Linked DNA regions of Elephas maximus indicus. The protein of the gene in region 1 binds, or shares a complex with, the protein of each later gene. Links are inferred from orthologs where the notes say so. Each region holds a gene or a part of one and is shown on either strand. Other genes may lie near its edges.

Region 1 (15,453 bases):
AAGATTACATTTCAAAATAGGTGGTCCTGAAATCCTTGAGAAAACATCCTTGATTTACATTACAAAAAGAGAAAGCATTTACAGGTTATCTAAAGGGAATTCTGAAAGAACAGGAGAGAAGGGGAGCCTCTTCCCTTATTTTCAACGCAGAGAATTAAAACTTATTTTCAATTTGTATTTGTCCTTACAAGGACACATAGTACCCTGGTTTTTACAAGGGAAGAGAAACCTTCCACACAAAAGCTAGGTGTGTTCCCTGACTTCATTTTCTTTTGCTTGTTGCACAGATGCTAAAGATAACTCCACTCCAATCAAGTATAAAATATGTGAAAAATAAACACAAGTCTGAAAATACTTAGCTCCACTATCCTAGCACGCCACAAGATGGGGATGTGACTCCAAAAAAAAAAAAAATTGCTTTCTGTGCTATATCTGTTTGTGTGTTTTTTTCCTATTTCTATGTCTTTATTTACCCTTTCTTCTCCAGCTGTCTATTTTTTTCCCCTACTGTCATTCTTCCTTACCTGAAATGACTACTAGCCATTTTCACCAGATAGGAAAACAATAGGACACTAATAAGTAAATTATTATTTTAACGTAACAGAAAGGAGCCCCTGGGTCTTTGAAATGATTAAGCACTTGACTACTAGCCAAAAGGTTGGCAGTTTGAACTCTCCCAGAGGTGCCTTGAAGACAGGCTTGGCAATCTGTTTCCAAAAGACCACAGCCTTGAAAACCCTATGGAGCAGTTCTACTCTGCAAGCATGGGGTCACATGGGATTGCCATGGGTCACGGTGGACTAGACAGCAAGTAACAACAACAATGACATGATGGGATACTATGTAGCTATTTTAAATGACATTTACATATATCATTTACATATATAAAATCTGTAAAAATGTAGAAAATGTTAAAAAATTTTAATTACAAAATAGTATGTACATTATGCTTGCAAAGATAAAAGTGCAAAAACTAAGAGACATATATTGAAAAGTAATAAGCAAACTGAAGGATTTCTAGGACTGTGTGCAATTTTTTTCTCTCATTCAAAAATTGTTTATATTTATTACATCATCTTTTTAAAACATTAAAGTAAAAAGGCCCAAATGCTTGCGTAAATAAAAAGATTTATTTGTTTAGGTGTCAGGGTTGCAGATATATTTTCTTTTATAAAATCTCAATTTGATTTCATCAGGGAAATAATAAACATATCATATTTAAAAAGGAATGAGTACTGAAATAAAAAAATACATATCTAATAGATAATAGCATCAAAAAACATCAAGTACCTAGGCATAAGCCAATTAAAGACGTACAACACAACTATAAAACATGTTCTCAGAGAGAAAAGACCTAATAAATAGAGAGGCATACCAGGCTCACGGACTGGAAGACTAAGAATAGTTAAAATCTCAATTCTCTCCAAATTGATCCATTGATTCAATGCAATCCCAGCAGGATTTTTGGTGAAAATACAAAGGGACTAGAACAGCCTATACAATCCTGAACAAAGCTGGATGATTTAACAGTATCAGAAATCAAGACCTACTATAAAGCTATAGTAATTGAGAGACAGTTTGATGTTTGGCACAAAACCAAAAAGAAACAAACCCACTGCCGTCAAGTCGATTCCGACTCATAGTACAAGGAAAGACAAAATAGAACACAAAGAACAGAACAGAGAATCTACACATATATATATATATAAAAAACATATATAGTCACTCGATTTACAAAAAAAATGGCATTGCAATCAATGGGGAAAGGATGGTATTTTCAACATATGGTGTTGAAAAAAATTAACTTTGACTCTTACCTTCAAATAATAAAAAAATTAATTCAAAATGGATTGTAGGTCTAAATATGAAAGGTAAAACAATGAAGCTTCTAGAAAAAAAAGAATGAAATATTTTCATGACTTTGGGGTAGCAAAAATTTCTTAAACAGAACATAAAAAAACACTAACCATAAAAGGAAAGATTGATAAATTGGTCTTCATCTCAATTAAGACTTCTGTTCACAAAAGAAACCAGTAAGAGTGTGGAAAAAGTAAACTGCAGGCTGTGCATTTTTATTTCATAGATAATATTCATCAATTAATTTTTTTAATGGGTAAATGAGGAAATTTCTTCTAGAATGATGGAATATATATATATTCCCTATGCTTCCCACTAAGAATAGCTAAAATCCCTGGGCATTACATATAAAACAAATATAAGACTCTGAAACATGGAGAGAGGGAGGCAGACTGACTAGGGACCTCAGGACCAGAAGAATGATACGGTGGTGACTTTTGTGGGTTTTCTTTTTGTCTCGTATATCCCAGACTGGGTACTGGAAAAGATATCAACCTGGAAATGACAATGGGTGCAGATAAAACACTTAAAAAAACACCCAAGGAAAGCCTGCTCTCTAAAGCCAAAGGACAAAGAAGCCCAGCAAGGTAGAAAGCTTTTAGACAATAACTACTCCAGCCAAACACCACAGAAAAACACTGTGGTGCCATTCTCACCCCTGCCAGCAAAGATCAAGCAAGGAACCTGGACTTCCAGCTTGCCAGGCTATAATGACATGTTCCAACTCCTCAACTAGGATGTTATCAGAGAAGGCTGAGTAAAGATCAGGGACTTTATTCTCTGCTGAGTGGTAACACGTGCATCCCCCAACCCCTACCCTGTGGGGTCAGTGGAGAACACACGGGAAGCCTGGACTTCTACCCCACACGGCAATAACAAGGAGCATCTCCTCCACCCCAGCTGTTAATGGAGGCCAAGTAGGGAACCTGGACTTTAACCTCCACTTGGCAGTACTGAAGTAATGCCCCTCTTCTCCCACTGGGGTGGTGTCAGAGGGGGCCTTCTATAACAGAAAATTTAAATAAGATCCAGAGTCTCATAACACAGTATCCAAAATGTTCAGGTTTCAAGAAAATATCACTCCTCATACCAAGAACCCAAAAAACTCAACTTGAATAAGAAAAGAAAATCAAGAGATGCCAACACTGAGGTGACACAGATGTTAGAATTACCTGACTAGGATTTTACATAAAAACCACTACCCACTGCTACATAGTATCATAAAAATTCTTCAACAAGCAATTACAAACATGCTTGAAACAAACAAAAAAATAGAAGTCTCAGCAGAGAACGTTGTTGTTGTTAGTCGAGTAGGTTCTGACTCATAGCAACCCTATGTACCACAAACCAAAACGCTGCCCGGTCCTGTACCATGCTCACAATCGTTGTTATACTTGAGCCCATTGTTGCAGCCACTGTGTCAATCCATCTCGTTGAGGGTCTTCCTCTTTTCCACCGACCCTGTACTTTACCAAGCATGATATCCTTCTCCAGGGACTGATCCTTCCTGACACTGTGTAGAGAACAGAAGATATAAAGAAGAATCAAATGGAAATTTTAGAACTGAAAAACACTATAACACGATTCAACAACAGTATGGAGAGGACAGACGAAAGAATCAGTGAATTTAAAGACAGAACAATAGAAATTACCCAAATTTAACAACAGAGAAAGCATATTGGAAAAAAAAAGAAACAGAGCTTTAGGGATCTGTGGGACTACACAAAAGATCTAATATCTATGTCATCAGAATCCTGGAAGGAGAGGAGAAAAAGGATGAGGCTGAAAGAATACCCACAGAAAAAATGGCTGAAAACCTCCCAAATATGGCAAAAGACATGAACTTACAGATTCAAGAAGCTACACAAAACCTAAACAGGATAAACCCTAGAAATTCATGCCAAGACACATCATAACCAAACTTCTGAAAACTAAAGACAAAGAAAAAATCTTGAAAGCAATGATAGAACCAGATATATATTAAGAAAAAAAATTCAAATGATAGCAGATTTGTCATCAGAAACCATGGAGGCCAGAAGGAAATGGCACAATATTTTTCAAGTGCTGAAAGAACTGTCAACTCAGAATTATATATCCAGTAAAAAATATCCTTCAGGAATGAAGGGGAAATCAAGACATTTTCAGATGGAGGAAAATTTCATGAAGAGAATTTGTCACCAGCACACCTACCTTAAAAGAATGGCTAACGGAAGTTCTCTTAATAGAAGGGAAATGATAAAAGAAGGGATCTTGGAACATCAAGAAGGAAGAACAATGAAAAGAACAAAAATATGGGCAAACATAATAAACTTTTCTTCTCTGAATTTTTTGAAATTATGCTTGATGGTTGAAGCAAAAAAAAAATTATAACACTGTGGTTTTTTAATGTATATAGAGGAACTACTCAAGACAATTATAAATGGGGAGCGTAAAGGGATGTAAAGGGAGGTAAGATTTTTACACTTCATTTGAACTGGTAAAATGTCAATATCACTAGACTGTGATAAGTTATATATACATAATTTAATACCTACAGCAATGTCATGGATCGAACTATATGCCCCCCCCCCCCAAAACGTGTGTATCAATTTGGCTGGGGGATGATTCCCGGTATTGTGTGCTTTTCCAGTATGTTGTAAATCCTGCCTCTATGATGTTAATGTGTTAGTGAGGCAGGGCTCAATCTACAAAATTGGATTGTATCTTCAGGTAATCTCTTGAGATATAAAACAAAGAAGCAAGAAGAGAGACGGGGGACCTCATACCACCAAGAAAGCAGTGCCAGGAGCAGAGCATGTCATTTGGACCCAGGGTCCCTGCATGGAGAAGCTCCTACTCCAGGGGAAGACTGATGAGAAGGCCGACAGAGAGGGAAAGCCATCCCATGGAGGTGACATCCTGAATTTGGACTTTTTGCCTACTTTACTGTGAGGAAATAAATTTCTCTTTGTTAAACCCATCCACTTGTGGCATTTCTGTTATAGTAGCACAAGATAACTAAAACAAGCAACCACTAAAAAAACCATATGAAGAGATATACTCAAAAACACTAGATAAATCAAAATGGAATTCTAGAAATGAACAGATGAAAAGTTTATTTCTTTAAAACCCCATTTCATTGGGATTACTTTTTACTTACGTGGGCCTTTGCTTTTTCTCCTCTATGGGTTGTTATTAGTTTCCTTTGAGTTCACAGAACGCTTAGGGGTAAGTGGCCCTTAGTAGGAGTCCTACCATCAGTTAACATAGCAGTAGCAATCATTAATATCATAAAAAAGCAAACAGAATAGAAGCAACAGTACAAGACAGAGGAGCCCTGGTAGCCCAGTGGTTAAGAGCTCAGGTAACCAAAAGGGCAGCAGTTCGAATCCACCAGCTGCTCCTTGGAAACGCTATGGGGCTGCTCTACTCTGTCCTACAGGGTTGCTGAGTCAGAATCAACTGGTCAGCAACAGCTTTTGTTTTTGGTTTAAGATTGTATTCTTGGAATGACTATTTAACCCATAAATGTAAGCAAACACTAAAATAGAACTTATGGAAGGGTTTTAAGAATCTGGCATGGACCCTAAAAATAAAAAGTTAACTGAACTTGTATTTTAATTACTCTATTTTCCTTTGCTATTCAAATTCAAAACCACTCAGGCTCCAAGAATTACTTTAACAGTGGAAATAATTACCCATCATACCAAAAGTAAGTCTGGGAGATTAATCCTGTGAATTGCCACCTCAGTGCTTAATTCACTCCAATATAGTTCCTGGTTCTTGTAGCCAGAATTCTTTGAAGAATATGGCCTTTGCCTGACTAAATGTTCACCAGATCATTTCTCCTCAACCATCCCTCCCCACACTGATAGATGCTGTTTCTCTGCCTCCATTGAAGTTAGGTATAGCCATGCTAATGAGTTCTGGCCAATGGAAATGTGGGCCAAAGACTTGGCCAGAAAACCGTCTCATGCACCTTCCTCCATTCTTGCCCCTCATCTGCCAGCCAGATGCAGAGGATCCAATGGAGAGGCCCACGAGAAGGCCCTAGGGGGTTGTGCAGCCATTAGATGCAAGGAGTCTGGGTCGCTGACTTGGAAGCGTGTCACCTCACCACGAACACCCATGTGGAACTATGCACTTAAGATAAACAGTTATTGTGTCAAGCCACTGAAATTGTAAGGTGTTTTGTTACAGCAGTTATCCTACCTTGAAAATAGAGGGTATATATTTTTTCTCATGCTCCCTTTCTCTATTTTTCCATGACTGACCCTGCAAATATAGTCCATGGAACTTTTGAGATTTGAGAATATTTTGAAATCCAATACTGAGAGCTAAAACAATCACTCCTTGATACTTTTGCAAGATCATGGTCATGAAAACTTGTCATTTCACATTCTAACTGGAACCTAGGTAAATAGCAAACACATAGGTTTCAATTTCTACTGAGCTGCCAAACTGCATAATAGAGTTAAGAAGATACTGTGATGTGACAAAACAAAGTAGATATAAAGATTTTGGGATTACTTTACTACCATATATATTCCTAATAGTATTCAAAAAATGTTAAGTGTACATTTAGGTGTCTTTTTCTTTCTATGCCTCTACTGCTGTGAAACTTTCTAAGCCGGTACAGGTTCTTAACGTTTCTTGTGCCACAGACCCTTTGTAAGTCTGGTGAAGCTAACGGATCCCTTATCACAATCATATTTTAAATTGCATTTAAAAAAAAAAACAAAACATTGGATTTCAAAGAAAACCAACAGAATGTGAATATCCAAAACCAAACCTGTTGCTGTCCAGTCTATTCCGACTCATAGTAACCCTATAAGACGGAGTCTAAGTGCCACATAGGGTCTCCGAGGTTGTATAATCTTTACAGGAGCAGAATGCCACATCTTTCTCCTGCGGAGCAGCTGGTGGGTTCAGACTGACAACCTTTTGGTTGGCAGCTGAGCACTTAACCACTATGCCACCAGGGCTCCTTGAATTGAAATATAGTAATCAAAATATTTTTCAAATGTGTTATAGCCATATGTATCTCTTTACTGACACATTAATAACAAGATCTAGTGATGGGTCTAATAATTACTGCAATTTTGAAGTAGTTATGAGTGAAAAGGACATTTTGAGATAACAATTATGGAGACCCTGGTGGCACAGTGGTTAAGTGCTCCAGGCACTGGAAACCCTATGGGGCAGTTCTACCCTGTCCTATAGGGTCACTGTGAGTCAGAATTGACTCGATGGTGACAGGTTTGATTTTTATAACAATTATTGTGAAAAGAAAATATTTGTGATTTCTATTGGTGACAAAATCACTGCTGATACTACTTGGTTTGTGTCTGCACTCATAATCAAAAGAAATGTTAAATTTCAGTTAGAAGTTAATGAAACTAAAGGGGAAATTTTTTCCCCATCCAAGTCCGCAGACTCTGAATGCTATTAGGGATGCCTGGGCGAGAACTCCAGGACTAGAGGTCTCTCTAAAACACCAACGGTGCTTATGTCTCAGTGGGGGCGATATAGGTGGTTTAAAGTTTTCTTCCTTGTTGTACAGTTAAAAATCTCAAATTTTCAACAATACGCAAATATTACTTTTATAATTGTAAAAGACATTAAATGATATTCACAAAAAAAGTATTGGTTGGAAGATTCGGGGCACAGAAATAAAACTGGAAAAACAAAGCAAAGCAATATTTGAAGAAAAATTTAGGAAAAGAAAAGGAAAAAAATTCTGCATGAGAATGGAGCAACTGAACCTGACTGGCATCGGAGAGACTTAAAGCTAGTGAGAACTCTATGCCATTTATCCTTACGCCTCAGGGCTGAAGCATCATAACTATTTTAATAGGCCACACCGTGGCTCACGGGACACATCTGAGGTAAGAGGAGGGAACCCACAGGACTTATTACATACATTTAGTAATCCTATTTTCCATAAACTGCATCTCACACTCCTACTGTCTACCTCCCAGCAGAGGTCTGGGAGAGAGAAGTTGGACAGTGAAATCTAACTCCTTACAGCGTCTCATACAAGACCCTTCTGGATCTTTTACCTATCTGTCCCCAGGCACCTGTCTCCATGGCCTTTATATACCTCCAATAAGCTCACCTTGTTCCAGCCTCGAGGGCTTTGTCTTTGTTCGTCCTTCTTCCTGACAAAGTGCACCTGCAGAACTCCCTGAGACCAATGTTCGGTTCCTTCTCATTCTTCTAGCTCCAAAGTTTCCCTCTCAGAGAGACGTTCTCTTGAATGCCCTGTTTAAAGTCCCCGGCCCACCCGTCCCTGCCTGTGGTCATCACCTTATTGCCGACGGCTTTCTGAAATTATTTCCATATTATTTCTCCCACTAGAAAGGAAGCCACTTGAGGACAGGGACCTTGTCAATGTTATTCACCACTGTATCCTCAGCACCTAAAACTATCTAGCACACAATGAACCCAAACCAAGCCCAGTGCCGTCGAGTCGATTCCGACTCCTAGCGACCCTATAGAACAGAGCAGAACTGCCCCCAGAGTTTCCAAGGAGCGCCTGGCGGATTCGAAATGCCGACCCTTTGGTTAGCAGCGGTAGCACTTAACCACTACGCCACCAGGGTTTCCCTAGTACACAATAAAAAAGGTGTCATTAAATATGTAACGAATAAAACAATGATTGGAATGTATGAATACCTGTGGACTGTCTCCTTGGGGCACACTCTGGCTTAGAAATATAAATCAGTTTGTCGGGCGAAACCACGTTTGTTAGTAGCGGTTTTAATCTGTCTGCTGAGTCGCTGGCCCCCTACGACTCTTTGGAGAAGACAAAGAAGCCGAAAATAGCGGCCGAACACACCGGGGGCACGATGAACTCTTCACTTAACCTCCCGGACTCTCAGCGCCGAACTGCGGCTGCGCCGAACGGGGGGCGGGACGCTGACCCGGCTCTCCGGAAGTGGCCCGAGAGCCGGCGAGACGGCGCGGTGGGGCGGGCTAGAGTGGCGCGGCGCGGCGCGGCGCGGCCCCGCTGGGTGGGGGCGAGCCGGCAATGGAGGACGAGCGGAGCTTCTCGGACATCTGCGGCGGCCGCCTGGCCCTGCAGCGCCGCTACTATTCCCCCTCTTGCCGGGAGTTCTGCCTCAGCTGCCCTCGGCTCTCGCTGCGCTCCCTCACCGCTGTCACCTGCACCGTGTGGCTGGCGGCCTACGGACTCTTCACCCTCTGTGAGGTAATGGCCGGTCGGCCTCTCCCTGCCCTCGGAGTTGGGGCTCGGATTTGGAAGGCTCTTTGGGGTCTTTTTGGTGGAGCTCGAGCCTCTTGCCGGATCCTCCTACAGTTGTAGGGTCGGAGGACGAGGACTCGCTGGTTCTGGAGACGCCATTGTCCTGCTGGACGGATCTTTTCATTACGTTTAGTGAAGTTTGTGCTCTTGTACCATCTCCCTCTCGTGGATCCCTGTTCTGCTTTTGTGGATCCACCCAGCATACATCTTAGTCCTTGCACGACAGCCTAAAATGTAAACTTCCATGTGCGCTATGTAGTTATGCTCCTAGTAATTTAATTCCGAGAGTTCAGAGAACTGTTAGTGGATCACCCTCATCCATCGCTTCCACTCCTCACAGGTATCATTGTTAACAATACCTTATATAGTCTTTCAGAAACTCTCTGCCTCTACAAGTGTGTATGTGTATATATAGTATATGTGTGTGTGTCTAGATACACACAGACGTTAAAAGCTTGAAAGCAGCTTTTATAGTTCCTCCTAATTTCTTTTTCAAGGCAATCTATCTACCTCCCTGAATCCCTTCCCCAGTTTCACGTATTTTCTGAAGAACTATGAACTTTTCGAGCAATTTCCAGACTCAGTCCTATTTTTTCTGAGCCTCAGTTTTCGCATCTCTAAAATGGAATATTTGCCACACTAGCTTCACGGTATTGTTGTTGTGTGCCCTCCAGTCAATTCCAACTCTTAACGACCAAGTAGCACAGAGTACAGTTGCCCCTTAGGGTTTCCAAGGTTGTAGATCTTCACTGAAGCCGACAGCCACATCTTTCTCCTGTGGAGCAGCTGGTGGGTTCGAACTATGGACCTTTTGATTAACAGTGCCACCAGGACCTCTTCCACAGTATTGTATTGTGGGTCAAATGTCCTAACTTTGTGACAGCGCTCAGTTAAAAGGACTTATCCTAATTGCCTTTCCCAGGGTAAGTTCTAGTTTCATGTATAGTGTCCTGGATGGAATATATTCCAGGAGTGGTCTGGTCAAAGCTAAATACAGCAGAGCTATTTATTCCGTATTTTGGTAGTTTCTATTACTGCATCCATTAGCTTTTTTGCTACCACAGCATATTTCAGAGCATGGTAATTTATCTATGTTTATCTGTCTAGCTACCTAAATTTATAATACAGTTGAATTTTAATACTAGCCTGAGTTCTGCCCCTGTGGGCATGTGGGGAGCAGGGACAGATAACTTATTAACTGCCTATTGAGTGCCAGGTGTTTTACTGAATGCCTCATTTCAACCTCAGAAGAAAACCAAGGCTCAGAAAGAGTAATAACTTATCTATCCAAGGTCGCAAATCTACAAAGCTAGTAAATGGTAGACCTGGGATTCAAATCCAAGGCTGTTTGACTCTGAAGCCGTTTCTTTTTGTTTATACCATGTTGCCTCCTCCATGTGGAGGGCTGATCTTAGGCAATTTTAAAATAGGAGAATTTTGTTTTTATGCCATCTCCACTTCATGTGGCAAAGGCCATGGCATCAAACCTCACTATGAACTTCATAAAGAAAGGACCTCTTCTTCCTTAGCTGTCTTTTTAAGATGAACTAAGTTTTTCAGAAGCCCCTCTAGCTGACCTCCCCTGACATCTCATTGGCCAGACTTGTCATGTGCCCATTCCTAACCAATCATTGGCAAAAGGAGTGGGACCAGGTCATGATTCACTCCAAGTTCTACTAGGAAGAAGCGGCAGTTGAATAGGCAGTGAGTAGTATCTGCAGCACTGGTGCGAAGTACTTTACAATTGTTCAGTCTGTGATTTTGCACTGTATATTCTGCTGAGGGAGCAAGAGAGGAAAAGATCTGGGTCCCTAAATTGCACTTTTGGAAGAAAAATCTTTGACATTGGTGTGATGCCAGACATTTTGCTGTGGATTTCCCTCCACAGACCTGTCCATTTGGAAGCTATCTGGATCTATTCCACTATCCACTTGTATGCTGTTGTTAGTTGCCACCAAGTTGATTCTGACTCATGGTGACACCATGTGTGCGGAATAGAACTGTGGGGTTTTCAAGGCTGTGACCTCTCAGAAGCAGATTGACAGGCCTGCCTCCCAAGGCACCTCAGGATGGGTTCGAACTGCCAACCTTTCTGCTAGTAGTCAAGCACTTAACCATTTATACCACCCAAGGACTCCTATATACTTGCAGAACCCAGATAAAAGTGGTTTCCTCTTTTGTATGGTTTCCTCTTATGTATGGGTCTTGCATCTGTTCAACTCACAGTAGAACAAAGATTTTCGCCTGTCCTTTGTCCCTTTCTGCCCCCCCCCGCCCCGCCCCGCCCCGCCCGAGTTGATTTGTTAACACAGCAGCAGTGTGCGCAGGACCACTTGGTAATCTTACTGCCTGCCTCTGGCTCTCTCTTCAGAACAGCATGATCCTCTCTGCTGCCATCTTCATCACCCTCTTAGGCCTACTTGGTTACCTCCATTTTGTGAAGATTGATCAGGAGACTCTGTTAATCATTGATTCCCTGGGCATCCAGCTGACCTCATCCTACGCCTCAGGCAAAGAAAGCACCACCTTTATTGAGATGGGCAAGGTGAAGGATATTGTCATTAACGAGGCTATTTACATGGTAAGTGTATAATAAGTATTACAGGCCTTTCTGGAGGAAGTAGCAGGTGGGGTGTTCCTGAATCAAATACTAAAGTATTTGATGTCATAGAATTAAATTTGAGGAATCTTCTGCTCTAGTACTTGCAGTGTTTCTTTTTTTGGCTGATGTGTCTATAAACCATAAGAGTGAAACTTACGTTGAAAAGATAGGACTATTTTTAAAGAGAATAGGTTTTTATGAATAAGGAATCAGCACTTCAACTGTTTCTAGCCCAGCTTCAAAATCATCTCTTGTATTTTTCATTTAAAGAATGAGAATATACTTCTCCTTTTCCATTTCAAGGTTATCAGGTGTTCTACTACTTAGAGAAAAAGTTTTGAGCCTCCCCTTGAAGAAGAAGAAAAAGAAAACAAACCGAGTTTCACTTGGACTTCTGCTATTTGGTTTCTTTTCTTACAGCAGAAGGTGATTTACTACCTCTGCATTTTATTGAAGGATCCAGTGGAACCACATGGGATATCCCAAGTAGTACCTGTCTTCCAGGTGAGCACAGAACACTTAAGTTTCCTTTCTCCAGAGAAATTCTCTACCTCCTCTCGTACTCCTTGCATATGCACTGCTGTTTATGCTCAGTGGGAATGTAAACTTTTGTCAGAGTTTTTGAAGATACCTGGCAACTATTTCCAGTGAAAATTAGGATTTTAGTTATTTTAGAAGTTCCTCTCTGAAGCAAATATAGGCTTTCAAAAATAATATGAATTCATGCAAATTTTAGAGAAAAAATAATCAAATATGTAGCAATTTCTGCCCATAAATTACTATTCATCTACTTTGACTCTCAGTTTCCATTATACAGTTTCACCCAGATGTCATTATCTACACATATTAGGCACTATTTTGTGCTTTGTTTATTAAATAGTTATTTAATATGCATTTTCATTCATCTGCAAAGGCTGTTATACTTTAAATAATTATATAGTATTCCATCATGTTGAAATATTATAGTTTACTTTAGCCACTCTATTTCTAGCTTTTTAAATTGTGTCCAGATTACTTGTTTTGCTCTTAGGAAAAACCACTTGAACAAACATGATTGTAATAAATTATAGGTATTTATTTACGTATGCATTTAACCCTGCTCCACTGCTGTTCCTTTTTCACAAAAGATTTAAGGCAGCTAAGCTCAAAAAAAAATTCTTTGGCATTATAGTTTCAAATTATAGCTATTTTGTTAAAGTTTATGAGCAGTTCCATGGGTTTTTGTTCGTGTTTGAGATTGAGCTGCAGAGATTGGACCACTTTACCATGCTATTGGGAGTTTTTACTTGCCTTTTCTGCAGTCTTGGCTAGCAGTGAATTCAACTGGTTCTTTTCGTTTAGTATGTAGGTAAAGGCATTTTAAAATTATTAAATTTGTATCTTTTTAAATGACTGACTTCATATTTCCTTGTATCTCCTATCAGTATTTTGTTTTAAATTATCCATCTCTATTAGTCAAGTAGAATCTAGATATTAATTATGTAACAATTCTTTTTATATTTTAAGTAGCAAACTTTCATTAAATATTCTTTCCACATATATTTTTCCCATTCTGTGGCTTTTCTTTTAGTTTTGGTTGTGTTACATTTCATTTCACAAAATGTTTTACAATATTTGCATATTAAACTGCCCTTCTGGTCTCTGAGGACTCTATCTCAGCTTGTGACACTTCTCAGAGGGCCTGTCCTTGTTATTCTTCTTCTTCTCTTAGAGGTTGTGAAATTTAGACAGATTAAAAAATTGTCTTTTGAGCTCCTGCCTCACACAGTTCACGGGCTGGCTACGGGCATAGTTTTGGAGTCCTTCTAGCAAGGTACTGAGGTGTGAACTTCCTGCTGTCTGAGCTCATTTCTCTGCCATTTATGCCCCTTGATGTGGGTGAGAGATTGAGTTTACACGTGGATGCAACACCACTGAGCACTCTCTTACGTTCATCTTGACTCTGCGTTTCTCCCCTTTGGAATTCAGAGTGCCAAGCCCCGGCTGGACTGCTTGATTGAAGTGTACAGGAGCTGCCAGGAGATCCTGGCACACCAGAAAGCCACATCAACAAGCCCATGAGTCCCAGCATTCAAAAGGCCAGTATTGTCTTCCTTGGGAGATGACTCTTAAGCCATAGTGGCTGGTTCATTTTCTGTATTCTAAACTATCACGTGGACACAGTCCTAGGAACCAGTGTGGGTGCTGTGGATCTCAGAGCCATAGAGCAGGTGACTGGAAACCTAACTCGTTGTGTGATGTTGAGCAACGTATTTCTGTGTATTTTAGTGTTCCCCTTGTAAGATGTTGCCTACTTTACCAACTGAGGGAAGACTTTAAGAAACAGGATGTCAAAAATAATATCAGCAAAGAGCACTTTCATGAAATTCCTAAGCACATTCAGTTTGCTTTCTATTGAAATTTGTGGAGCAAGACAGTGGGAAACTGACATCAGGTTTCTTGAGAAAGGTATCATTTCCAACTGCAGAGCACCACTGTGTAAAAGTTAATAATAAAAAGGCCAGCCCTTCAGGTACTAGTTAGCGGGAGGAAATGTCCTACAAAAGACTACTCTGTCCACTTAGCTCCTGTGTTAGCAGGGTTAATTTATAACTCTCTTAATAAACAAATCTTCTTAAAACATACACAATAATTGCCTGGTTCACAGACAGCTGCTTTTTATTGACAAACACAATCATGGCATTTCAGTCATGGGTGTCAAGCACATGAATACTTTCCTGTTACTCATCATTAGCTACGGTTTCAAAAGCTTCTTTTGCCAAAAGGGATGAGACAAAAGGTCAGACAGATTTGACTTTTGTTTCCAGACACAGGACTTGCGTGTTAAAGAAGGATAAATAAGAGAACTGTAGAAGCCTTTGTTTATAAGGAAGCTTCTTCTGTATAAAATCAATAAACTGAGAGGATTCCTGAAGGATTGGGAGGGAGGGGAAGCGGGGGAATAGCGTGGCGTCAAGTTCAGTATGAAAAAACTCCTTGCCTACTCTTTATATGGAATCCTAATTTTTTTTTAAACATCCCTCCCTGGTAGATGATGTTATCCTCATTGGTCCTAGAGACACTCAAGATATTAAAAACCAGAGCTGCAATCTCTGCCATTTACACAGCTCTGGAGGGTTACCCAGGAACCTGTGGTATATGTGAGATGTGACTTGTTCGAGGTAGAAACGTCTCAGCTAGATCCCTAAATCCTGGTGGAAAAGGCAGTACAGAAGTGGGAGATGGCTGTAAAACTGCCCGTCTTCATAAAGTCAAGTTCATTTATAAGATGCAGACTGATGTGCTTTTTTCATCATGCTTGTCAGTTTAAAACGGGAAAGAAGGGGAAGTTTACAGCAGCTGAAGTGTTACATGAACTACTTCCAGCATGTTGTTTTTGCAGTGTGCAAGAAGCACACATTGTTAAAGGCTTGGTTTTTGGATGTTACTGCTAAATCCATCCAGTTTTCAGCACTTTACTGACAAATGGCAAGATTGCCCTAAAGCTATGAAATAAAATTCATTTTCTCAGGTGTTGGAATATCAGAGTATGAACTCTTTCGTTTTGGTTTTTTTTTTTTTCCTATTAGGGGAAGGTGGGAGACAACTACCATCTCCTTTGCTCTTGACTAGGTCTGGAGGGGTGATATTGGTGTCATCACAATGGCCAAAGGGGAAAGAAAACTTCAATTTCTTTCCCCTAGTGCTGTTAGGCTAGAACAGATATCACATATGTGCCCTCTGCTCTCAAACTAATTCCCAAGAGAAG
Region 2 (15,000 bases), on another chromosome or scaffold:
ACACTCCATATTCATGGATTGGAAGACAGTATCATTAAGATGACATTACCATACAAAACATTTATTGATTCAACGCAATCCCAATCAAAAGTCCAACAGCCTTCTTTACAGATACAGAAAAACCAACCCTCAATTTTACACTCAATAAGAAGCCTCAAATAGCCAGAGCAAATTCGAAGAAAAACAAAGCAGGAGGACTCACACTTCCGGATCTCAAAACATACAAAAAAACCAAACGAAACCTGTTGCCACTGAGTCAATTCTGACTCATAGCGACCCCATAAGACAGAGTAGAACTGCCCTACAGGGTTTCCAAGGAGCACCTGGTGGATTCAAACTGCCGACCTTTTTGGTTAGCAGCCGTAGCTATTAACTACTACACCACCAGGGTTTCCAAAACATACTATACAGCTATAATAATCAGAACAGTCTGGTACTGGTATAATAACAAACACAGAGACCAGTGGAACAGAAATGAGTCCAGAAATAAATCTATACATCTACGGTCAACTAATTTTCGACAAGGGTGCTAATGCATTCAATGGGGAAGGAAGAGTCTCCTCAATAAACAGTGCTGGGAAAACTGAATTTCAACAGGCAAAAGAATGAATCAGGACCCATGCCTCACACCATACACAAAAACCAAAATAGGATCAAAGAACTAAATGTGGAAACTAAAACCATGAAATTCTTAGAAGAAAATATAAGGGTGTGGCTGCAGGGCCTAGTTTTTTTTTTTTTTTTTTTACCATGGATTATCGGATATAACAAAAGCCATGAGAAGCAGAGGACAAAAAAGATAAACAGGACCTCAAAAAAATTAAATACTTTTGCTCATCAAAGAGCTTTATCAAAAAAGTGAAAAGACAGGCCACATAAATCGAGACTCCATCAGCCTGAGATCAGAAGAATTAGATGGTGCCCGGCTACCACAAATGACCACCCTCACAGGGAACACATTCCAGAGTCCCTGATGGACCAGGAGAAAAGTGAGGCATAGAACTCAAATTCTAGTAAAAAGACCAGACTTCATGATCTCACTGAGACTGGAGGGATCCCAGAAGACACGGCCCTCGGACTCTCTGTTAGCCCACAACTAAAATCATTCCCCATGTCAACTCTTCAAAGATTAGACTGGACTTTAAGACATAAAATGATACTTGTGAAGAGCTGCACTTCTGAGCTCAAGTAGATACATGAGACTAAGTAAGTAGCTCCTGTCCGGAAGTGAGAGTGAGATGAGAAGGCAGAAAAGGGGAGAAGCTGGTTGAATGGACACGGGAAATATAAGGTGGAAAGGAGGACTGTGCAGTCATATTATAGGAAGATCAACTAGGGTCACATAACAATGTGCGTATAAACTTTTGTATGACAAATTAACTTGAACTGTAAACTTTCACTTAAGCATAATAAAAAAAAATTTTTTTAAAGAATATATTAAAAAAAAAAAAGGGACCCAAATTCTCATAAGACCAGACTTAATGGTCTGACTGAGGCTAGAAGGACCCCAGTGGTCATGGCCCCCAGACCTGTTGGCCCAGGACAGGAACCATTCCTGAAGCCAACTCTTCAGACACGGATTGGACTGGACAATGGGTTGGAGAGGGATGCTGGTGAGGGGTGAGTTTCTTGGATCAGGTGGACACTTGAGACTATGTTGGCATCTCCTGCCTGGAGGGGAGATGAGAGGGTGGAGGGGCTTAGAAGCTGGCGAAATGGACACAAAAAGAGAGAATGGAGGGAAAGAGCAGGCTGTCTCATTAGGGGTAGAGTAATTGGTAGTGTGTAGCAAGGTTTATATAAAGTTTTTGTGTGAGAGATTGACTTAACAAGAAAAAGATAAATCACCCAATCTAAAAAATGGACAAAGGAACAGGCATTTCATCAAAGAGGATATTCAAATGGTCAATAAAAAGATGCTAAACATCATTAGCCGTTAAAACCCACTGCCATCAATTTCAACTCACAGCAACCCTGTTGGACAGAGTAGAACTGCTCCATAGGGCTTCTACGGAGCGGCTGGTGGATTCGAACTGCTGACCTTTTTGTTGCAGCCTGAGCTCTTAACTACTGTGCCACCAGGGCTCCCATTAGCCATTAGAAAGACACAAATTAAAACACGATGATACTACCTCACTCCCACTAGGATGGCTAAAAAAAAAAAAAGGAAAATAAATAACATTGACAAGAATGTGAAAAAACTGGAACCCTTATTGGGGCCCACTCAAAGGCAGCTAACAACATCAACAACAATCCATCGTTGGTGGAACTGCAAAATGGTACAGACACTGTAGAAAGCAGTTTGGTGGTTCCTCAAAAATTTAAACATAGACTACCATACCAAAAACCCAGTGCCCTCGAGTCGATTCCAACTCATAGCGACCCTATAGGACGGAGTAGAACTGCCCCAAAGAGTTTCCAAGGAGTGCCTGGCAGATTCAAACTGCCTACCCTTTGGTTAGCAGCCACAGCACTTAACCACTACGCCACCATATGACCCAGCAATTCCAATCCTAGGCATATACCCAAGTGACTTGAAAGCACTGATGCAAATAGATACATGTACACCAATGTTCACTGCTGAGCTGTTCACAAAAGCCAGAAGGTGGAAACACTTAAGTGTCCGTTAACAGATGAAAGGGTAAACAAAATGTGGTATAACCACACAGAGGAGTCCTACTCAGCCACACAGATAAATGAAGTCCTGATACATGCTCCAATGCAGATGAATCTTCAAAAGATTATGCTAAGTGAAGTCACTCAGAAAAGGACAAATATTGTATGATCTCGCTTATATGCGATAATAAGAACAGACAAATGTATAAAAACCAAAGTTTATTAATGGTTACCTGGGTGAGTCTCTGTTCAGGAAACAGTGAATTTGTTTTTGGTGATAGGAAATTTGGCAACGATTATGGGTGATGGCTACACAACATGATTAATGTAATTGATGGCACTAAATTGTACACTTCAAAAATATGGAAATAGAAAAAAAAAAAAATGGTACCCCAACTGGGAAGGAGGAAGCAAAACTATCCCTTTTCACAGATGACATGATCCTATATACAGAAATCCCCAAAGATTCCACAAGAAAGCTATTAGAGCTAATGAATTGAGCAAAGGGGCAGCACACAAGGACAACACACAATAATCAGTCAGGTTTCTACACATCAGTAATGAGGAAACTGAAAAAGAAATAAAGAAAGCAGTACCATTTACAATAGCACCTAGAAGAACAAATCAGCTAAGAATAAATTTAACCAGGAATATGGAAGTCTTATACACTAAAAACTACAAAACATTACTAAAAGAAATTAAAGACAACCTAAATAAGTGGAAGGACATTCCACATTCATGGGCTGGAAGGCTTAATTATAACAAATGTATAGACTACCTTATAGATGTCAATACTACCCAAAGCAATCTGGGCAAGGTACCCAAAATACCTAAAGCAATCTTCAAGAAGAAGAAAGTAGGAGGATTCACACTTCCCAATTTCAAAACAAACTACAAAGCTACAGTCATCAAAACAGCCTGGTACTGGTATAACAACAGACATATAGACCAATGGAAGAGTCCAGAAATAAACTCATACATTTGCATTCAACTGATTTTTGACAAGGGTGATAAGTCCGTTCAGTGAGGAAAAAAGAGTGCCTTTAATAAATGGTGCTGGGAAAACTGGATTTCCACATGCAGATGAATGAAGCAGGATCCATGCCTCACACCATATACAAAAATCAATTCAAAAAAGATCAAGGACCTAAACGTGAAAGCTAAAACCATAAAACTGTAAGAAGAAAACAGAGATATGACTACAGGACCTACTTTTTAACAATGAATTATCAGCTATGACACCAAAAGTACAAGTAACAAAGGATAAAATAAATAGGATCTCACAAAAATCAAATACTTTGTTCAAAGAACTTTATCAACAAAGTGAGGAGACAACCTACAGTTGGGAGAAAATTCTGGAGAACCATGTATCTGATAAGGGTCTAATACTCAAAAATATGTTAAAAAAAAAAAAAAAAACCTGTAACTTAACAAGAAAAAGACACCCCCGCCCCCCCCAAAAAAAGAACAGGGAAAGGATTTAAACAGACATTTCACCAAGGAGGATATATAACTGGCCAAAAAGCATGTGAAAAAATGCCCAACATGATTAGTCATTGGGGGGAAAAAAAAACCAAACCCATTGCCATTGAGTCGATTTCGCACATAGCCATTAAAAAACAAAAAAAACTATTCGTAATTTACAATTCTTTGCAAAGAAAACATTAGGCCCAGATGATTTTACAGTACAAGTTCCATCAAACTGTTAAGAAACAAACCACTCCAATTCAAACTCTCCCAGGCAACAGATAAAGACAAACTCACTCACCATAGAAGGCCAGTGTTAACTTTACTGCCAAAATCAGACATGACAGTTAACAAAGAGAAACGACAGGCAATTACATTCATGAACAGATGAAAAACCTTAAATAAAATATTAGGCAACTCAAACTAGTACTGCACAATCAAGATAATCCATTAAGACCAAGCTGGGTTATTTCAGGAACGCAGGAGTGAATTAAGAATTTTAAAAAATCTTAATTTAACATTTAACAGATTAAATGAGAAGAACCACAAGATGTTCTCCACAGGTGCAGAAAAGCATATGACAAAATTGCAAACAAAGTCCTTCCTATCTGAATGAAGGATATCTACAAAAGCTCACAGCACACGTCATTCGTAATGGGGAGACACTAACTTTAAGACCTGGAACAAGACATGTACGGCCATTACAATCACTTCTAATGAACACAGATCTAGAAGTGCTGCCAGCATATTAAGAAAGGGAAAATACACAAAAAGGAAAAGCCCAAACTGTCACTATTTGCAGACGATATAACTGTCTACATAGAAAAGCCAGAAGAATTCTAGAAAATACATTAGAAATAAGAGTTATCAAGTGGCTGGCTCAAGATCAAATTTTTAAAAATCCATTCAATTTCTATTTACAAACAAACAGAAAATAAAATCTAAAACAAAACAATTTTAACAAAAACTGTTAAATACATAGATATCAACATCACAAAAACGTGGAAGATCTGTGCAGAGAAGATCACAAAACCATATGAAAGGAAATTAAAAACCTAAAAGAAGACAAGAAGGCTCAAAGTCTTAAAATCTCAATTCTCTCCCAAACTAATTCAAATTAAACCTCAAACAGTTTTTCATGTCACCTGACAAGCTGATTTTGAGGTTTTACAGAACAAAAGTTCAAGAACAGCTGAAACTCAAATCCCTCCCTATATCAAGATTTCTTATAAAGCTAAAAACATTAATAAGGATTAAGCCAGTGTGGTATCAGCATGTTGCAGTTAGGTACCATCAAGTCAATTTTAACTCACCATGACCCCATGTGACAGAGTAGAACTGCCCCAGAGGTTTTTCTAGGCTTTAATCTTTATGGGAACAGATCACCAGGTGTTTCTTCCACAGAGCTGCTGGGTAGGTTCGAATTGCCAACCATTCAATTAACAAACACCTAAGCACATTAACTGTCTGCACCACCTAGCAATTTCTTTTGGCTCATAAACTCCCCCCAAAAGCTTTTAAAAATTACAAACCCCTTCACACATCAAGACGACATTTAAAAGATTTCAGTATAAGTTTAAGTAACTGTAAAGGATGAATTTCTGAAGTATCATGGTGACATTTTCAAATAAAACTGATACATCAGTCTTCCAACTGTATGTCATTATAATTATTAATATACAGCTGATCATAACTATATATGTTGATAATTATAAAAAGTGAAATCTTATTGAAAAAGCATCTCTTGAGACAATGGGGTAGATGCCTGGACTGGAACAATGCCCTGGTAACATTCCATGTGGGGGAGTGGAAGGCTACTGTGAAAGGGAAGATAAGAAAGGAGAACTAGCAGGTGACCTGTACCATAAGCCTCAGGCATTACCAATTTTAGAAAAGAACCCCCAAAAACCGGTTGCCATCAAGTCGATTTCAACTCATTGCGACCCTACAGGGCAGAGGAGAACTGTCCCATAGGGTTTTCAAGGAGTGCCTGGCGGATTCGAACTGCTGACCTTTTGGCTAGCAGCCGAGCTCTTAACAACTGTGCCGCCAGGGCTCCTAGAAAAGAATACATACAAAAATTAAGGATCTAGAAATTGATTCATTAACACCATTTGTACCCAAGCACCCCTTGGAAAAATCTTCCTAACTCCCCTGGGGGTTATGAACCCCAGTGTGAAAACTTAAGAGAAATTCTTGTACCTGTGTACCAGAAAATACACACAAGAATCTTCATTAACAGTACGTTTTAGAAACAATGAAAATGTCTATCAACAAGAGAATGCATAACCGTGTTAGATTCACGCATGGAATATTATACAGCAGTAAAAATTTATGGACTTACATCTATATTCAAGAATATCATAATGGTGAATAAGTCCTAGAAAACTACATCTGGTAGGATTCCTTTTTTTTTTCCAACTCAAAAACAATAGAAACTATACATTGTCAAGAGATATATATATATATCTGATAAAATTATTTTTGAAAAGCCAAGTGATGACATGAAATTCAGGATAATAGTCACCTCTGGAGATGAGTACATGCAATACTGGTAATTTTAATTTTTCGACTGAGTGGTAGACTCATTTTTTACTGCTTTGCGTAGTTATATATATCATGTATGTATCAAACATTACACTGAAATAACCGAAAAGATTAAGATAAACCATTCGTTATATTAATTTTTTAAATTAAATCTCCTCACTGGACACTAAAAAGGTACATATACCACAGAAATTACTGTCTTTACATCAACCATAGGAACTGATACACGCTAGGAAGACGATAAACGTTCATTAGAATTAATCTTATGAGGACCAAATGAGATAAAAACTGAGCCAGTTAGCTGTGAGAGAAGAACCAGTAGACGGAGACACGAGCAGAAGCCAACGTGGCTCCAAACAACAAGCTGAAGTTACAGAGAAGGCAAAAAACGTGAAAGTCTGAGAGCATGAAGTGTTAGCAAGAAACAGGTGTTCTCACTCAAAACAAGGGAGTGTGAAAATTGGTAAATCGCTTGGAGAGCATCTGTGATATCCATGTATCTTACTATCAAAGCAGATCTACTACTAGATATATTTCCTAGAGAAGCTTTCAAATGCGTGTACAAGCAGACAGGTAGGTAAAAAGATGTTTATTGCAAGAGTGCTTTTAAGAGCAAAAAGCTGGGAACAACTTCAAAGTCCATCCATAGATAAATGGATAAATGAACTATGGTATATTCATACAATGGAACTCTATACCGGTAATTTAAATGAATGAGCCAGAAACAACAAAATCATCTGATTTATTCATATATAAATCTCAAAATGTGATACAAAGTAAAAATAGCAAGTTGCAAAAAAAAAGTACATGTAGTTTAATACCATTATGTAATGTTTAAAAACACACACCAGTATATATTGGTTATGGATTCACTCTGATCGAAGTATAAGATATGCAAGGGAATGACAAACACAAACCTGAACACAGTGGCTTTTGTCTAGGAAAGGAGGGGGAAAAACGAGAAGCACCCCCATATGGGCAACATTTCATTTAAAAAAAAAAACAAAGGATCTCAAGTAAATTTGGCAAAATATTCCAATTAAAAAAAAATTTTTTTAAGCACCTGTAAAATCTGAATTATGGATTGGGTAGACTCCCCCCTCCCCGTAATTTATGCGTCAAATAGTCCAGAAATTAAAAAGAAAACTTTGCAAGAGTAAGAAAATGGAGCAGATGGCGAGAGAAAAACACCAAATGCAGCTCTTGAGCGCAGAGCACACAGTCCTTGAGCAAGAGTAGTAGTCAAGTTCCTGATGCATTTGACTTTTCTTGGCCCTGTCTGTGTACTCTAATAATGAAGTCCATTTTCCTTAAGATAAAATGCAAATTCCTTGCAATCAAAAATGTCCTAACCAGAGCCGAGTAATTATGAGAAAACTGCGCCCAAAGGAGGAGTAAGATTTATCAGATTTCTACTTTATTTCCCTCTCCTGCACGCTGCGCAGAAGCAAAAGAGATGATTTACGTGAAAGCCATAGAACCCTAACTAAACCGTTAGCTGTTACCAAAAACGCTCAGGGTCGGCTACAAGGTATTGCCCGTTTGGCGGATGCATGGATTCTGGGGGAGGTTTGCAATTTGAAGGACTGTGACTAGGGTTCCTCTGGAAAACGCCCGCCGCAATGGTACCAGTCCAAATTCGCCTATGCCTTGCTCGGTTGTGGTCCCCCAATTCTATTCCCGGGAAAGGCTGGCTCCACAGGCCACACCTAACTTTGCAAATACCACGGAGCAGCTGGCCCGAACCGCTCCCGTCCTCCCAGTTAGTCTTTGGGGGTGTGGGGGGAGAGACTTCTCCTGGTCCGTTCCTTGGGGAGGGGCGAGCGCCGCACTCCGCTGCCAGTTCTCACAAAAACAGGTGGCAGGTACGTCGGAGCACACAGATGGTGGGCTTGCACCAACGTTCCCGAACATTCGTCACGGAAAACTCGCACTCGCGCGGGAACACACTAGGGTTGAGATCGCTCCAAGAGGGGGTCGCGTCGCACAAGGCGCGGGGACGCGCACCCCCAGAAAAGAGCAATGACGCAAAGGGGGAGCCACCCACGGAAGCCGCGAAAAGAAAGGGTGTCCACAAAGGGGGTCCGGGGGCAGATCCGGGGGCGTGCCCGAGAGCGGGCTGGGGCGGCCACCGCCCCAAACTGGTATCGGAGACGAGGCGCGCGCGGACAGCAGAGGAATGTGCACGCAAAAGGAACGCTCCCACCCTCGCGCAGACCCCCAGCGGGGCACCCGCTTGCAGAAGGGGGACACCAGGCAAAGGAGACACACCCCGTGACCGTTCCCTGGCCCACGCAGACACACAGCGGGCACCACAGCGAGGGACACCCCGCAACGAGCACACGCTCCTGCAAGGGCTGTGAAGGATAAGGCCCCCTTTCCCCGGGAGTCTCGGCTGCAGCGGGACCACGTGACCTGCCGCGCGCCAAGGGTGCACTTACCGGGGCCCGCTGTCAGCGAGCCTCGGACGCTGGTAATTCCCTCAGCCATTACCGCCGCCGCCGCAGCGACCAGACCTCCACGTCAGCCGGGCGCGAGCGGGGGCGTGGGCGGGAGGCAGATTTGTCACGTGGAAAGGGAACACACATGCGCAGTGGGGCCAGCCCGCCCCCTCCCTCCGCGGCCGCGAGCTGAGCGCCCTAGCCTGCCCCTGCGCATGCGTCCACCCTCCGCGCGCTCCCTGCGAGGGTCGCGGTGTACGCGCGTGCGTGGGCGGGAGTGCGCCGTCGCTCCTTTCCTTTCTCTCAATTTTCTCTCTCTCGCACCCCGCCGTTCCGTAGTCGGCGCTTGCGCAGAAGACTCGGCGCGGAGGTGGCCGAGTTGGCGGGAGGGGCCCGGGTGAGCGCATGAAGGGCTGCTGGCCGAGGGCATACCCCACCCAGCTTTTGAGTGAGGCCTCGAATGAGAAACAAGCCCCAACAGAGAGCAGGGCCCAGGCCTGGGAGGCCGCGCGCGTCCAGGTCGGCGCCTCGCGGACCCCACTCTGCTCTTCCCTCCCCTTCCCCTGCGCAGGCGAAGCTCGCGGGGCTGGAGCGGCGTAGGTGCCTCCGCTGCCGTGCCCCCCGCAGCAGGTGTGCGCGCGTGCACTCGGGCGTGGGCTGGGGTGTGCGCAGGATGGCCGTTTGCAGTGGTTTCCGCTGAAATAAACCCCTGCGGGGGCTCTGCCCAAAGCAAAGTCAGGAGGGGCAAAGGGGTGTAAATCGCTGACGGCTTGTCTTCTTTTCCACAGATTGTCTAAAGCCACAGGGACAAAATGGTGGAAAATTCACCGTCACCATTGCCAGAAAGAGCGATTTATGGCTTTGTGCTTTTTTTAAGCTCCCAATTTGGCTTCAGTAAGTATATTCTTGAAGAGTGACTAGGAACCCTTTCTGGATGTCGAGGACAAGGAAACGTTGCGGTTTTTTTTAGAATGTATACACAGGAGCTGTGATTCTTTACAGCAATGTTTCTTTTTAAGGGAATTCGTTGTTCAAGATGTTTTATATGTAAGACGCTGGCCCAAGAGCTTTAATTTTAACACATATATTTATATAGCACCAGACATGATGGCAAAGTGTGTAAAATCTGGTTCTTGCCCTTAAGGAGGTCAGGGTCTTCTGGACCAGATGTTCACTGTGGTAAGTATCATGGAAGAACAGTGGACGGACGTTGAAATCAAACTGGGAGATCAGATTGGCTTTCTCTCAGAGACTTTATTCACAACACTTATTACAGAAGAATAATTAAGAGAGAAGGAAATGTGAAGGGCTTGGAGGAAGGCACAACCAGGTTGAAAAGTGAGTAGTTTGGTGTGGCTCCAGTGCAGCATGCAGGAACTGGAGAGTGATGGCAATTAAGCTAGAGAACTCCCATTGAAAGATAGACCCTTTAATCCGCAGAATGTCCCATTTTACAGATAAGGAAACTGACTCTCACTGAGACACTGACATACCCCAAACCCAAGACCCACTGCTGTCGAGTCGATTCTGACTCATAGCGACTCTATAGGACAGAGTAGAACTGCCCCATAGGGTTTCCAGGGAGCGCCTGGTGGATTTGAGCTGTCAGCCTTTCGGTTAGCAGCTATAGCTCTTAACCACTATGCCGCCAGGGTTTCCATAATATGCCCAGTCACACCAAAAAACCAAACCCATTGCCATTGAGCGGATTCTAACCCGTAGAGATCCTATAGGACAGAGTAGAACTGTCCCCATAGGGTTTCCAAGGCTATAGATCTTTACAGAAGCAGACTGCTACATCTTTCTTACTTGTAGCTGCTGGTGGATTCGAACCACCAGCCCTTGAGTTGGCAGCCAAGCACTTAACCACTGTGCCACCAGGGCTCCTTGCCCAGTCACACAGTAGGCCCCATATTGCCCCAAAAGGATTTTGGAATTATGAGAGAAACAAAAGGGAGAAAATTGGGTACCTTAATCCTACTTGCTGGAACTTCCTGAAAGCTGAGGGATGGGGGGAGGGGTGTGTGCGGAGGAATCTTAACTGAAAAAAACCCCACTTTGCACCATCAGTATAGCTTGGAGATGGCCTAATGGCCAAGCTGTTGACTAAGGGAGTTTGTGGAGTGAAGAAGTTACGTCATTGTTAGTTGCTGGCGAGTGAGCCCCAGACTCACGGCGACCCCACGCACAATGGAATGAAACACTGCCTGATCCTGGGCCATCCCATGATTGATTGTGGATCAGGCCATTGTGATCAACAGGGTTTTCATTATAACTAAATTCAAATCCTTACTCCTCCACAGATTAGCTGTGTGATCTAGGGCCACTTAACCTCTGTCTTAGCCTTCAGGTTCCTTATCTGTAGAAGTGGGTGGGAAGTGCTGATGATAATGTTTGTTGGATCTGTGTGTTGATCGATGTTTGTTGATCTGGCAGGAGCCAGATCATTCAAATCCTTGTGAGTCCTGATACGCACAAACGGTCCTGTGAGGTAGATACTGTTGTTATGGTCCTCACCTTCCAGGTGACGATACTGAAGCACACAGGTGGGTTTAAGTAACTTAACCAAGGTCACACAGCTAGCTGGAATTTGAACCTAGATACACTGTTTAAGAATATTTGCTCTAAAACATTTCATTCTGCTGTCTCTTAGGGCTGTTTTGAGGATTAATCAGGGTAATTTATATAAAGCACTTACAGCAATGCTTGGGATACAACAGGTATTCAATAAATATTAGCCACTGCTATTATTATTAACATCGTTTTGTAATCCTAGTGTTTAATAGAGTACTTGAAGGATTAGAAACTATGCAAATAAATAAAAGCAATGGCTTTAATACTTAAATTCAATAGTACCTACAATCAAAAATTAATTTAGTAAATATTTATTGAGTGCTTAGTATATGCCAGACACTATTATAAGTCAGGGAGGAGCAAAACAAGCAGATATTTCCTAGTCTCATACAGTTTTCATTCTAGTAGAGGCACATAGGCAATGAACAAATTAAGTGAAACGTGCACAATGTCAGATGATAGCATGCCCTTTGGGGAGAAATTAAGGACGAAGGATAAGGAGTGGAAGAACTTTGTGATTTTGAATAGAGCAGTTGGGATGTACCTGAGAGATTAGGTTTAAGCAAAGACATGAAAAGTGAGGGAGCTAGGTGGGTGGTTCTCTGGAGAAAGAGCACCCCAGAGAGAGAACAGCCAGTGCCGACGCCCAGAGGGAGACACATTCCTGTGAGTTCAAGGAATAACAGGAAGGTTGAAGCCTGAAAAAGTGAGGTCAGAAGCCAGCTCTGGGCAGTTACGATAAAACTAGGTGCTGGGTACAGGAGGATTACATGATTCTCTCTCTACATTGAAATGTTTACTAATTTGAAAACAACCAAGGTAATTGCAGATTGTGATGAAGGCTTTGAAGTAAATAGAGGGAAATGATAGTAATGTGGGGGGCGGGGCAGCAGATGGAGGGACTAATGGTCGGGGAGAGCCCCTGCTGCCTGAAAGAGAAGGGACCAGGCATTGAAAAGAGCCAAGGGAAGAGCAGACAGGTCCAGGCAGATGGCACTTCAAGCACAGTAGCCCTGAGGAGGAAAGGTGTGAAGAACAGAAAGGAGACCACTGTGGCTGGAGCATAGTGCACAAGGCTTAGAAAGGACATTGGAGAGGTGGGCAGGAACCAGATCATTCAAGTCCTTGTAGGCCTTGGTAAAGAGCTTGGATTTTCAACGGCAGTGGGTAAGGGCGTTGAAGGGCTTGAACAGTTGAGGAATATGGTTTACTTAATATTTTTGGAAGATCATTCAACGCTGTATGGAGAATAACTTCTCAGATACTCTCTTTGGTGTTAAAATTACGAGTCACCCAATCCGAAAACCTGGCTGTCATTCCCCATTTGTCCTTTTTCTTCTGCCCATAACTCATTCATTCGCTCCTGCCACGGAATCTGCTGTAGGCCTCTTACTGTCTGATTTTATTACCACCAAATACGTCCTCCAGAGAGCCACCAGAGCAACCCACTCAGAGGCAAATCTGAACTTCTCTGCTTAAAAAACCTCTTTGGTGGGTGTGTGGATGGTTCTCTCTCTCTCTGTAGCCCACTTTTGCACTTTTATATCTCAGTACTCACAGCAGCTCTGAACTGCTCGTGTTGTCGTTAGGTGCCTTCAAGTTGGTTCTGACTCATAGCTACCTGTGTATGACTGTTTATGGTTTCCCCCAAATACGTGACATTCTTTTGTCACCTCCGTATTTTTCTTAATGGTCTTGCTTCTGGGAACGTTCTTTCCATCTTCATTATCTCTTTGCATAGCGACCTCCCTTACGGGAGCTTACCTCCACGCATCCTTTGAGTCAGCTCAGGCATCATCTTCAGGAAGCCTTCCCTGATCTCCCCAATTTGTGTTAGGTCACTTTTTTCTCTCTTCTAATGATACCTTACGTAGGTTTGTCACTGTACTTGTCTATGATTACCTGGGGAGTAGCGTAGTATGAACAGACTGTTTGGGTTCACACTGCAGCTTTGTAGCTCTTACTGTGAGACTTCGAGCAAGTTACTTGATTCCCCAAGCTTCAGTGGTCTTCATCTGTGAATTAGGGCTAATAATAGCTCCCACCTCAAAAGGGTTTTGAGAGGCTTAAGTAAGATACTACATGTGAAGTTCCTTCCACTACACTTGGCTTGTTTCTGTCTCCCACCCTAGTTTGTGAGTTCCCTGAGAATAAGGACTGTTTTAGTTTCCTCTATAACGTTTTTTAAAAAAAAAAAAAATTTTTTTTTATTGCGTTGGCCTTACATAGTGTCTGGCACATAGTAGTAGATGTTCAAGAAATGATCATTCATTTCATTAATTAAACTAATAAATCACTTCTGCTTATGGATTTATAGTGTTTCATTATGATTGTGTTGCATTAACTTTAAGAGCTATGTTAATGCTTCAAGCCAGTTCCTGGCCACCCTTTCCCTTGGCCTCTACCATCTAAAAAAAAAAAAAAAAAAAAAGGCACCAAATCTCTCTTCAGATCCCTCATGTTCTCTCTCTGTATCATGGCAGGGAACATCATTTCATCTATTTTCCCTTCCTGTCATCTGCAGGCTCCCTAGCCATATACGTTTTTAATCTGGCTTACCTCCTACTCATCCTTCACACCTTAATTTCCACCTGCGCCTGTCTGGGCTAAGGTTCTTCTCTTGTGCTCCCGTGTCGTCTTTTATCACATAGTCATCAGCAGTTATCATAGTGTAGTGACAATATCAATTTCCTCAACTCTGTTCTCCACTAGATTTTAAGCTCAGGGAGGGCAGGGGTTGTCTCTTTCAAGTTCATTATTGTATCTCAAGGTCCTGACGTAGTTTTATACTACATATTTGTCAAGAAAAAAACAATCAACACTTCATCATCGTTGATTTAAGTAATTGGAAATCTGTCTTTGCCGCTTACCTTGGGCAGACGATTTAACCTTTCTAACCTTTTCATTTCCTCATCTGTAAAAATGGTATACATACGTCAGTTTGAAGATTAAAGGAAATAATGCATGTAAAGTGCTTATAACTGTGCTTAGCCCGAAGTGAGTGCTCAGATGGCATCTGTTACTACACAGGGACAACAGCAAAAAACCAAACCAAACCCACTGCCGTTGAGTTGATTCCAACACATGGCGACTCTGTAGGACAGAGTAGAACTGCCCCTGTAGGGTTTCCAAAGCTGTAATCTTTACTGAAGTAGACTGCTACATTGTCTTGGTCATCTTGTGCTGCTCTAACAGAAATACCACAAATGGATGGCTTTAACAAAGAGAAGTTTATTCTCTCACAGTCCAATAGGCTAGAAGTCTGAATTCAGGCGCTAGCTCTGGGGCAAGTCTTTCTATGTCAGCTCTGGAGGAAGGTCCTTGTCATCAGTCTTCCCTTGGTCTGGGAGCATCT

The links.
Region 2: PIGH (region 1) and PIGP share a complex: the UniProt entries of both Homo sapiens proteins name them as parts of the glycosylphosphatidylinositol-N-acetylglucosaminyltransferase (GPI-GnT) complex. The link is inferred for Elephas maximus indicus from reciprocal best matches to the Homo sapiens genes PIGH and PIGP.

What each region holds. Positions count from the first base shown.
Region 1 is NC_064828.1:79,951,048-79,966,500, reverse strand, and holds PIGH (phosphatidylinositol N-acetylglucosaminyltransferase subunit H), read left to right. Parts: upstream 1-8,788; 5' UTR 8,789-8,869; coding exon 8,870-9,049; intron 9,050-11,474; coding exon 11,475-11,684; intron 11,685-12,125; coding exon 12,126-12,356; 3' UTR 12,357-12,557; downstream 12,558-15,453. UniProt on the Homo sapiens protein: Part of the glycosylphosphatidylinositol-N-acetylglucosaminyltransferase (GPI-GnT) complex that catalyzes the transfer of N-acetylglucosamine from UDP-N-acetylglucosamine to phosphatidylinositol and participates in the first step of GPI biosynthesis.
Region 2 is NC_064820.1:218,685,158-218,700,157, reverse strand, and holds the start of PIGP (phosphatidylinositol N-acetylglucosaminyltransferase subunit P), read left to right. Parts: upstream 1-9,298; 5' UTR 9,299-9,468; intron 9,469-9,474; exon of another isoform or gene 9,475-9,590; intron 9,591-9,599; exon of another isoform or gene 9,600-9,701; intron 9,702-9,859; 5' UTR 9,860-9,883; coding exon 9,884-9,965; intron 9,966-15,000. Other genes in the region: E3 ubiquitin-protein ligase TTC3, read right to left, coding at 9,072-9,120. UniProt on the Homo sapiens protein: Part of the glycosylphosphatidylinositol-N-acetylglucosaminyltransferase (GPI-GnT) complex that catalyzes the transfer of N-acetylglucosamine from UDP-N-acetylglucosamine to phosphatidylinositol and participates in the first step of GPI biosynthesis.